2 linked regions of the Rattus norvegicus genome follow. The protein of the gene in region 1 interacts with the protein of each later gene in a biochemical or structural test. Links are inferred from orthologs where the notes say so. Each region holds a gene or a part of one and is shown on either strand. Other genes may lie near its edges.

The links.
Region 2: of the proteins of Ccnd1 (region 1) and Cryab, one has a biochemical effect on the other in vitro, tested with the Homo sapiens proteins (2 studies listed by BioGRID, with this or other methods). The link is inferred for Rattus norvegicus from reciprocal best matches to the Homo sapiens genes CCND1 and CRYAB.

Annotation. Positions count from the first base shown.
Region 1 is NC_086019.1:209,517,727-209,521,341, forward strand, and holds the end of Ccnd1 (G1/S-specific cyclin-D1), read right to left. Parts: intron 3,589-3,615; coding exon of another isoform or gene 3,523-3,588; coding exon 3,358-3,522; 3' UTR 562-3,357; downstream 1-561. UniProt on the Homo sapiens protein: Regulatory component of the cyclin D1-CDK4 (DC) complex that phosphorylates and inhibits members of the retinoblastoma (RB) protein family including RB1 and regulates the cell-cycle during G(1)/S transition.
Region 2 is NC_086026.1:59,990,214-59,994,368, forward strand, and holds the start of Cryab (alpha-crystallin B chain), read left to right. Parts: upstream 1-1,317; 5' UTR 1,318-1,646; coding exon 1,647-1,847; intron 1,848-2,874; coding exon 2,875-2,997; intron 2,998-4,155. Other genes in the region: Hspb2 (heat shock protein beta-2), read right to left, coding at 1-76, 500-593. UniProt on the Homo sapiens protein: May contribute to the transparency and refractive index of the lens. Has chaperone-like activity, preventing aggregation of various proteins under a wide range of stress conditions.

The DNA.
Region 1 (3,615 bases):
CTAAAGCAGACCTGGATCAAACCACCTGTCCCCACAGGGTTTGCAAACAATACTAGTCATGAGCAGCTGCCACCCAGAGGACATCACAGGAGTCTAGCCAGGTCACTCAGGTCTCCTGGGACTGTGTGAAAGGCCACCTTGGGTCTTGGCCCTAACACTAAGCATTAGCTCTCTGGGCGCTTGGCAGCACCTAGGAACGGTGATTCACCCAGAGCAAACACCCATTTGCGCCAGACGAGGGGCAGTGAACGCCGGCTCTGTTGATCTTCCATCTGCAAATAAGCGAGAGGGTGAGCTGGCAGCGACAGGCTGAGAGCCGCTTCTGATCAGTGGCCGCCACTGGTCTCCCTGACGCCAGTGGCTCTCACTCTGCTCTTGGCTGCCACCCGCGAACACCCTTCCCTTTGGGAGTCCCAGGTTGGTGCCAGGGCCAGAGATGCTACCAAACACCCTGGGTGCAGAGGACAGGCTGGATCCCACATGGCTCTGGGATCAGGATGGCATACCTCCCCCCACCCCCGACTCCTGTCCTTAGGGCCAAGAAAATACACAACAGCAAGCTGGGATTTTACCAATTTTATTTCTAGATTTTTTTGTCTTTTTTTTTTTCCTGGACCATGCTGGTCACATGTCTGTGCTGGGAAGCGCCATGGTGTGTCAACCAGAATACACAAAGCCAACCTGACCACCAGCCAGAGCCCCTCAAAGCCATTCATGTCACAGGGCAGACTGTGTGGATCCACCAGCCTTTGGCCCTTTGGCCAAAACTTCACCCCATCACCATGGACACAGCAGCCCTCAAGGGTCCTGCCTGGTTGGGACGCCTCAGCTAAGCTGGTGGTGACCCTTTTGGTTTGGCAGCTTGCTAGGGAACCTGGGGCCTACAGCATTGCGGCTGGCTTTACATTAGCACAATGCTGTGAGTAACACAAAACAAGACAGAACACTAGAACCTAACAGATTAAATGATGCACCAGAGACTCAGAACAAATCTCTCCGGGTCCAGCAGCATGGTGGCATGCACAACAGGCCGCTACAAGTAACAATATTGATAACTAACAGAACACAGTTGCCCTGACTGCTGTGATGCTATGTCCCAGATCAAATGAAGGCCCAGCATGACAGGATGATCCCCAGCAGGGTCCCAGGGTCCCTGGAGGCAGACCACCCCACCCGCCTGCCAGGCCTATGCATGGCTAGGTGATACATGAGGTATTGTGTACAGGAACCTGTTTGTGTGTGTGTGTGTGTGTGTGTGTGTGTGTGTGTGTGTGTGTGTGTGTGTGTGTGGTTTTTTTTTTTTTTTTGGGAATACAGCGGTAATCACATTAATCCAAAATTGAATCACAATAAAAAAAAAAGTACAAAAAAGGGCATCTGTAAATACACTCTTCTACGAGGAAATTAAAACTTGAACATGGCAGTTTATGACATTGTAAAAAAAAAACAAACAAACCAACAACAACAAAATAAAACTGACCCTCCAATAGCAGCGAAAACAACATGAAAGATACAAAGCAACGTGAATCTGGTTCCGAACGCCGGGGATCCTGGGAGTCATTGGTAGCAGCGCTGTGAAAGGAGCCGCGGCCTGTCCCGTGTGGTCCCTACCCTCCATACTTCTTCTCTCACATCCCCTCTCCAGCCACCCGCTCTCCACCTCCCACCAACACATCCTGAACAGAAAGGCAGAGCCAGAGGTGTGCAAATTACCTACTGTTGCTAACTTGGGAGCGGCGGCAAGAATGTGCCAGACTCAAGACTCTTTTGGAGTCCCCTAATTTTCCTCAGTTTGGATGGCTCTCCAATGGGGCCAATTGGGTTGGGAAAGTCAAGGAGACCACATCTCCGTCTTTGTGGTTTGTTTTTTTTTGAGGACACCCCCACTTGCCCAATAAAAGACCAGTCTCTCAGACATGGCCCTAAACCTTCGCCAGCAGGGCAGAAGGTGTGCGTTTGAATCAAGGGAAGATCACATTGCTTTGAGTCACACGGGTCATGGGCAACCTTCCCAATAAATACTCTTCTGTAGCCTTACGTATAAATTAGAGATTTTAGTGTTTAAAAGCCTCCTGTGTGAAAGACTTAAGAGTCGTCCTGAATCCCCTTGTCCAGGTAATGCCATCACGGTCCCTACTTCCAAACGCCAGCTGGCACCAAAAGATCCCTCCGACTTTGCAGGAAGATCCCGGTGGTACGAGAACAGAGCTTTCTCTTCTCGACCCAACAAAACTTCCCAAGCACCTCATGCTACCAGCCCTACACACCTGCTGTGCAGCCATCAGAATTGAGTGTGTGGACATCCCCCAACCATTCCACTAGACCCCCTCCCCCACCGACACACACACACACACACACACACACACACACACACACACACACACCCAGCAACACTGCCTCCAGCTAGCTGACCAAAAGTGCTTTGAAATGGAATGGTTTTGGAACATGGAGAAGGAAAACATAACAAAACAAACCACACACAAAAGAAAAGCTGTGGGTTCAACCTGATGTGAGTGGGCTGCAGGGCCACCAGGCAAAAACCAGCATCTCTCTAAACAGGAACTACAAAACAGGAAGGTTACAAAAATAGAATATATTATGTCACTATTTCATCCCTACCGCTGCGTGGCTGGCTGGCGCTCTGTGAACCTGCAGGTTGTGGGGGGCAGAGGGCCCATAACATGAGCCCTGGAGGGTGCCACACGCCACGAGGCCGCTAGAGGTCGAATCGACCATCAGTAAGGTTAAGAGGTCTGCCCACTCCTGGGATAAAGCACAGGTATCATCAGGTAACAGGGCTGTAGGCACTGAACAAGCAGGGGAGTGAGGTTGAGGACCTTGCCAAAGCTGTGCCTTTTCAGCAAAGCAGAGTACATTTCTCTACCTAAAACCCTTCTACTTTAACAATGGTTTGCTGTATTTTTTTTCCTTCTTTTTTTAAAGCAATGTTTCTTAAGCTTTTTTTTCTTAAACACATAAAAGAATCAAAAATCCTTCTCAAGACTTCCTGTGTGTTAATCCTATTCTTAGAACAGACAAGCACATTAATAGAAAACTAGTTGATTACTGGGGTACAGAATTCTATTTTTGTAGCACCCCCCCGTCTCCCTATACTCAGGGTGATGCGAATTCTATCTCTCTCTCTCTCTTTAAGACAGCTTTCAGGTATTTTTTTTCTCTTTTGCTTAAATCAGATAGAAAGGAGAAAGATTAAGGAAAAACAACCAACAAAGAGAACAAAACTTCCCCTTCTGGTAACAACACATCCCCAAGGGGGACCTCGTCAGGAGCACCCGGGCTGGCTCCTTTCTCTTCGCGGATGCCACTACTTGGTGACTCCCGCCTGCCCGGTGGCCCTCAGATGTCCACATCTCGGACGTCGGTGGGTGTGCAAGCCAGACCAGCTTCTTCCTCCACTTCCCCTTCCTCCTCGGTGGCCTTGGGATCGATGTTCTGCTGGGCCTGGCGCAGGCTTGACTCCAGAAGGGCTTCAATCTGTTCCTGGCAGGCACGGAGGCAGTCCTGGAGAGGCGGGCGGAGATGGAGGGAGTCCTTGTTTAGCCAGAGGCCGGTGGCCAGGGCCTTGACCTGCGAGGCAGGCTTTGCTAAGGGCAA
Region 2 (4,155 bases), on another chromosome or scaffold:
CCAGCTCTGGCGGCCCGGGGCCGAACATAGTAGCCATGGTAGAGGGTGGGGGTCAGGATCTCTTCTGGCAGGAGGCCTGGGAGCAGAGAAAGAAAGAGAAGGCAAGAGGCAGGATGAGGAAGAATGCAGCGGGCACAGACAGGGCTGAAAGGCGATATCTGGAGATATGGGCTAGAAGAGCAGGTGGGAAACTGTAGAGGGGCTGGGAAAGGAGAGGAGATGGTTACGGAAAAAGCGAGCTGGAACTGGAGGACAGAAGCAAAACCAGAAAATACTCTGAAGCGTGCAAGGCCCGGACACCGAAAGCCCTGCCGATCTAAAGTTTGGTCCTGAAGTCTGTTAGCAAGACCAGAGAGAGTCTTGCTTGAGGGGGGAGTCTGGGGTGGGAGATGGCTCACCTCAGGAGTTCACTTAAGCCCCAGGTAGAGTGGAGGCCAGTGAAGCTGGGCAGTGAGCCCAGAATTTCCGGAGGTGGGGGTAGGAAGCATCTGAGCCATACCTTCTCCGAAGCGCTGCTCGCCCAGGCGGCTAGGGTTGGCAAATTCGTACTCGGCAGTGGCTGGGTGGGCGTGTGGCACTGTGCGGCCCGACATGACTGCTGTTGCGACTAGTAGCCCTGATCCCAAGTGTAGCCCCAACAAGATCAAGGCGACCCCTCCAGCTTCAGAGGGAGAGCCAGGACTCAGTCAGAGTGGGGGCGGGGTCTACACCACCCAAAATAGTGCAGAGCGTCTGGGGGATGGGGGAGGGGTGGGAGCCTAAGTCTAGAGTGCAGCTATGAGGGTGTGATCAGCGCAGCCTGGACCCCCTAAGTCCCCTCCTCTGTATACCCTTCAGCTGTCGCATAGGCCTGGAAGAACAGCTGAGGGTCCTGGTCCTAGAGTAAGCTGGGAAGAGAAACTGGTGCGCTGCAGGAGGGCAAGGAGAGGCCTGGTTGGGCCCTTCACCAATTGTACATTCCACATCACCCTTTGTCCTTATCAGTCTCAGGCACTGAGCACATTACTTAGAAAAAAAAAAAAAAAAAGACAATGTTCTATGAGCCACAGAACGTCAAAAATACAAGAAACATTTTCTGTCTTTTTAATGTCAGGGTCTTCTGAACCTAGATCAACTCGGGGTTCCAGTCAGACACCTAGTTCTGACATATTGGTGGTCACAGCTCTCCTCTGGGACTCCACAAAGAGTTAATGTCCCTGGGGCTCAGCCCAGGAAGATTCCAGCCTCTGCCCAGGCCCAAGATAGTTGCTGGCTCAATTCCCCTGGCATGCAAGACTGGAGAGGAGGAGGGGCCCACCAGCAGCTGCTTGGGATTCCAGACCCTGTCCTGGCTCCAGAGAACAAGGATGGGGTGGGTGGGTGCCACTAGGTGTGGACAGAGAGCTAGTGAAACAAGACCGTGACAAGTCACCGGCCAGCTCAGCCCTGCCCCGTGTTTCTCTTTTCTTAGCTCAGTGAGTACTGGGTATGTGTCACCCTGCCAAATCCCTGATCACAAGTCCCCATGAACTGTCGGGGAGCTGGGATAATAAAACCCCTGACATCACCGTTCCAGAAGCTTCACAAGACTGCATATATAAGGGGCAGGCTGTAGCAGCGGCTGAAGGAGTTGACCGGCTAACCGACTCTACACTCATCTAGCCATCATGGACATAGCCATCCACCACCCCTGGATCCGGCGTCCCTTCTTTCCTTTCCACTCCCCAAGCCGCCTCTTTGACCAGTTCTTCGGAGAGCACCTGTTGGAGTCTGACCTCTTCTCTACAGCCACTTCCCTGAGCCCCTTCTACCTTCGGCCACCCTCCTTCCTGCGGGCACCTAGCTGGATTGACACTGGGCTCTCAGAGGTAAGTCTCCCTTGTGCCAGGGCAGGAATACGTATCCTTCCTGGTCTCTCCATTCCTTTGCCCTTTCACCCTGCCTAAGTCATTTTAGGCATGTGCGTGTGCAAAGGTACAGAGAAATGAGGTTACTGTTTTCTTCTTCCTGTGGGCACCTGTTTCTGTTTGATGCTCCTGTTTCCTGGTCCATTTTTCTGTGCATGGTGCCTCTTTCTCCTCTTTCAACTCCTTTACCCACCTCTTTAATAGTCCCAGTCCTGGCAGATTTTATCATCTCAAACTGTAGAGATCAGATAGAAACCCACTCATTCTGGGCTTTTCCTGTCTTCTTTCCTCCCCACTTCCTTTTGATGGAGCTGGATACATCAATCAATATTCTCTCTCTCTCTCTCTCTCTCTCTCTCTCTCTCTCTCTCTCTCTCTTCCTTGGCCTATGACTTTCCGGGTTCCTCGGGGCTGAGACAGTGCATTGACTTCAGTCCATGCCTTAAGAGGACCGCTCTTGGGAAGCCCTGACTTCTTATCTCAGCAGCGTGGGAGATAAGATTAACAGAGGTTGTCACAGATAACACTGTGGTTTAAAAATATTCGCGTGTGAGGAAACAGGAGCTGAGTGAGCAAGGGCTTTGGAAGGACAGAACATTCCAGATCGAGTGGGTTGGAAACTTGGCAGGCAACTGAACAAGAAAAAGGGGGCTTTTGTTTTATAGACAAATGACAAAGCCAGCACTGGGTAGAGAGGCAGCAGATGCCATCCCCAGACCCATTCTTGTGACTAGTCTCCTACTGACCCGTCTTCTTCCCTGTGCCTCTCGGTAAAGTTTGGGACTGATGGATGACTAAGAGGTGTCTTTTGGGTATCACCATGGTGGCTCACATATACCAGTGTCACTAGTCATAAGAGGATTTTTCCCCCAGCAGCCAGGTAGAGGATGGATTACCAGGGCAGGAAGTAAATCTCCTGGACGATGAGCCTTCTCCAGCTTAATGGACATTCTACCATCTTTTCTCCTCCGCCCCCTTGTTATTCTAGATGCGTATGGAGAAGGACAGGTTCTCTGTGAACCTGGACGTGAAGCACTTCTCTCCAGAGGAACTCAAAGTCAAGGTTCTGGGAGACGTGATTGAGGTGCACGGCAAGCACGAAGAGCGCCAGGTGTGTGGACCTTTCTGCCTTCTCTTGTGAATTCATTTAGTGCCCTGCTGGATGCCAGGGACTGCCGCCACCAGCCTCTGAGGCTGGCAGAATTCCAGTCCCCAAACATAAGACTAGATCAGGAGTTATAGATCAATGGCTGGGAAACAAGTTAGGGCTAGATCTGCTGTTAGTGTTGTGGCTGTGCTGAGAGAACTTTCCCCTGGATGTTCCTTTTGATTGCCTTGTCTTGTCCAGTGACGTCAGAATAGCAGAAGAATTCTCAACATTCCCAACCCTCAGCACATCCTAGGCCAATTGAATCTGAAGTTTTAGGGACATAGCTCAGGCATCAACCTTTAAACAAACAAACAAACAAACTCACTCCTTGGGTACTTTCTGTACCCCAAACTGGCAGCCATTGCTCTAGGCACAGTGTGCTGTACATAATGGCTCTGCGAAATGACAGTCACCACGGAGTCGAAGGCAATAAAATCTGTGGCTTTTGAATGTTCAGGATTCCATGCCTCTTCTGCTCAGTTTAATGCTATGCTACTTGGTTTGTCTGCTTTTCAGAGCTTCAGGCTTATGGCTGTGAGGAAGTTAATTGAGATTTGTTTGTGTGGATGCTTGGGGTACTTGGGATTCAATAGGTAACAGGATTAGCATCCACAATTCCTCTTGCATTTTTAGCATTTTTTTTTCTTGACTTCCTAAAAAGGTGTTATGATTGCTTCTTAAAAATTAATGACTTGGGGGGCTGGGGATTTAGCTCAGTGGTAGAGCGCTTACCTAGGAAGCGCAAGGTCCTGGGTTCGGTCCCCAGCTCCGAAAAAAAAGAACCAAAAAAAAAAAAATTAATGACTTGGGGTTGGGGATTTAGCTCAGCGGTAGAGCGTTTGCCTAGCAAGCGCAAGGCCCTGGGTTCAGTCCCCAGCTCCGAAAAAAAGAAAAGAAAAAAAAATTAATGACTTAGGGCCTGGAGAGATGGCTCAGCAGTTAAAAGCACTGACCGCTCTTCCAGAGGTCCTGCATACAATTCCCAGCAACCACATGGTGGCTCACAACCATCTGTAATGGGATCCAATGCCCTCTTCTGGCATGCAGGTGTACATGCAGATAGAGTGCTCATACATAAAATTAAAAAAATCTTAACAAAAAATAACTCAGCTGTGCCGT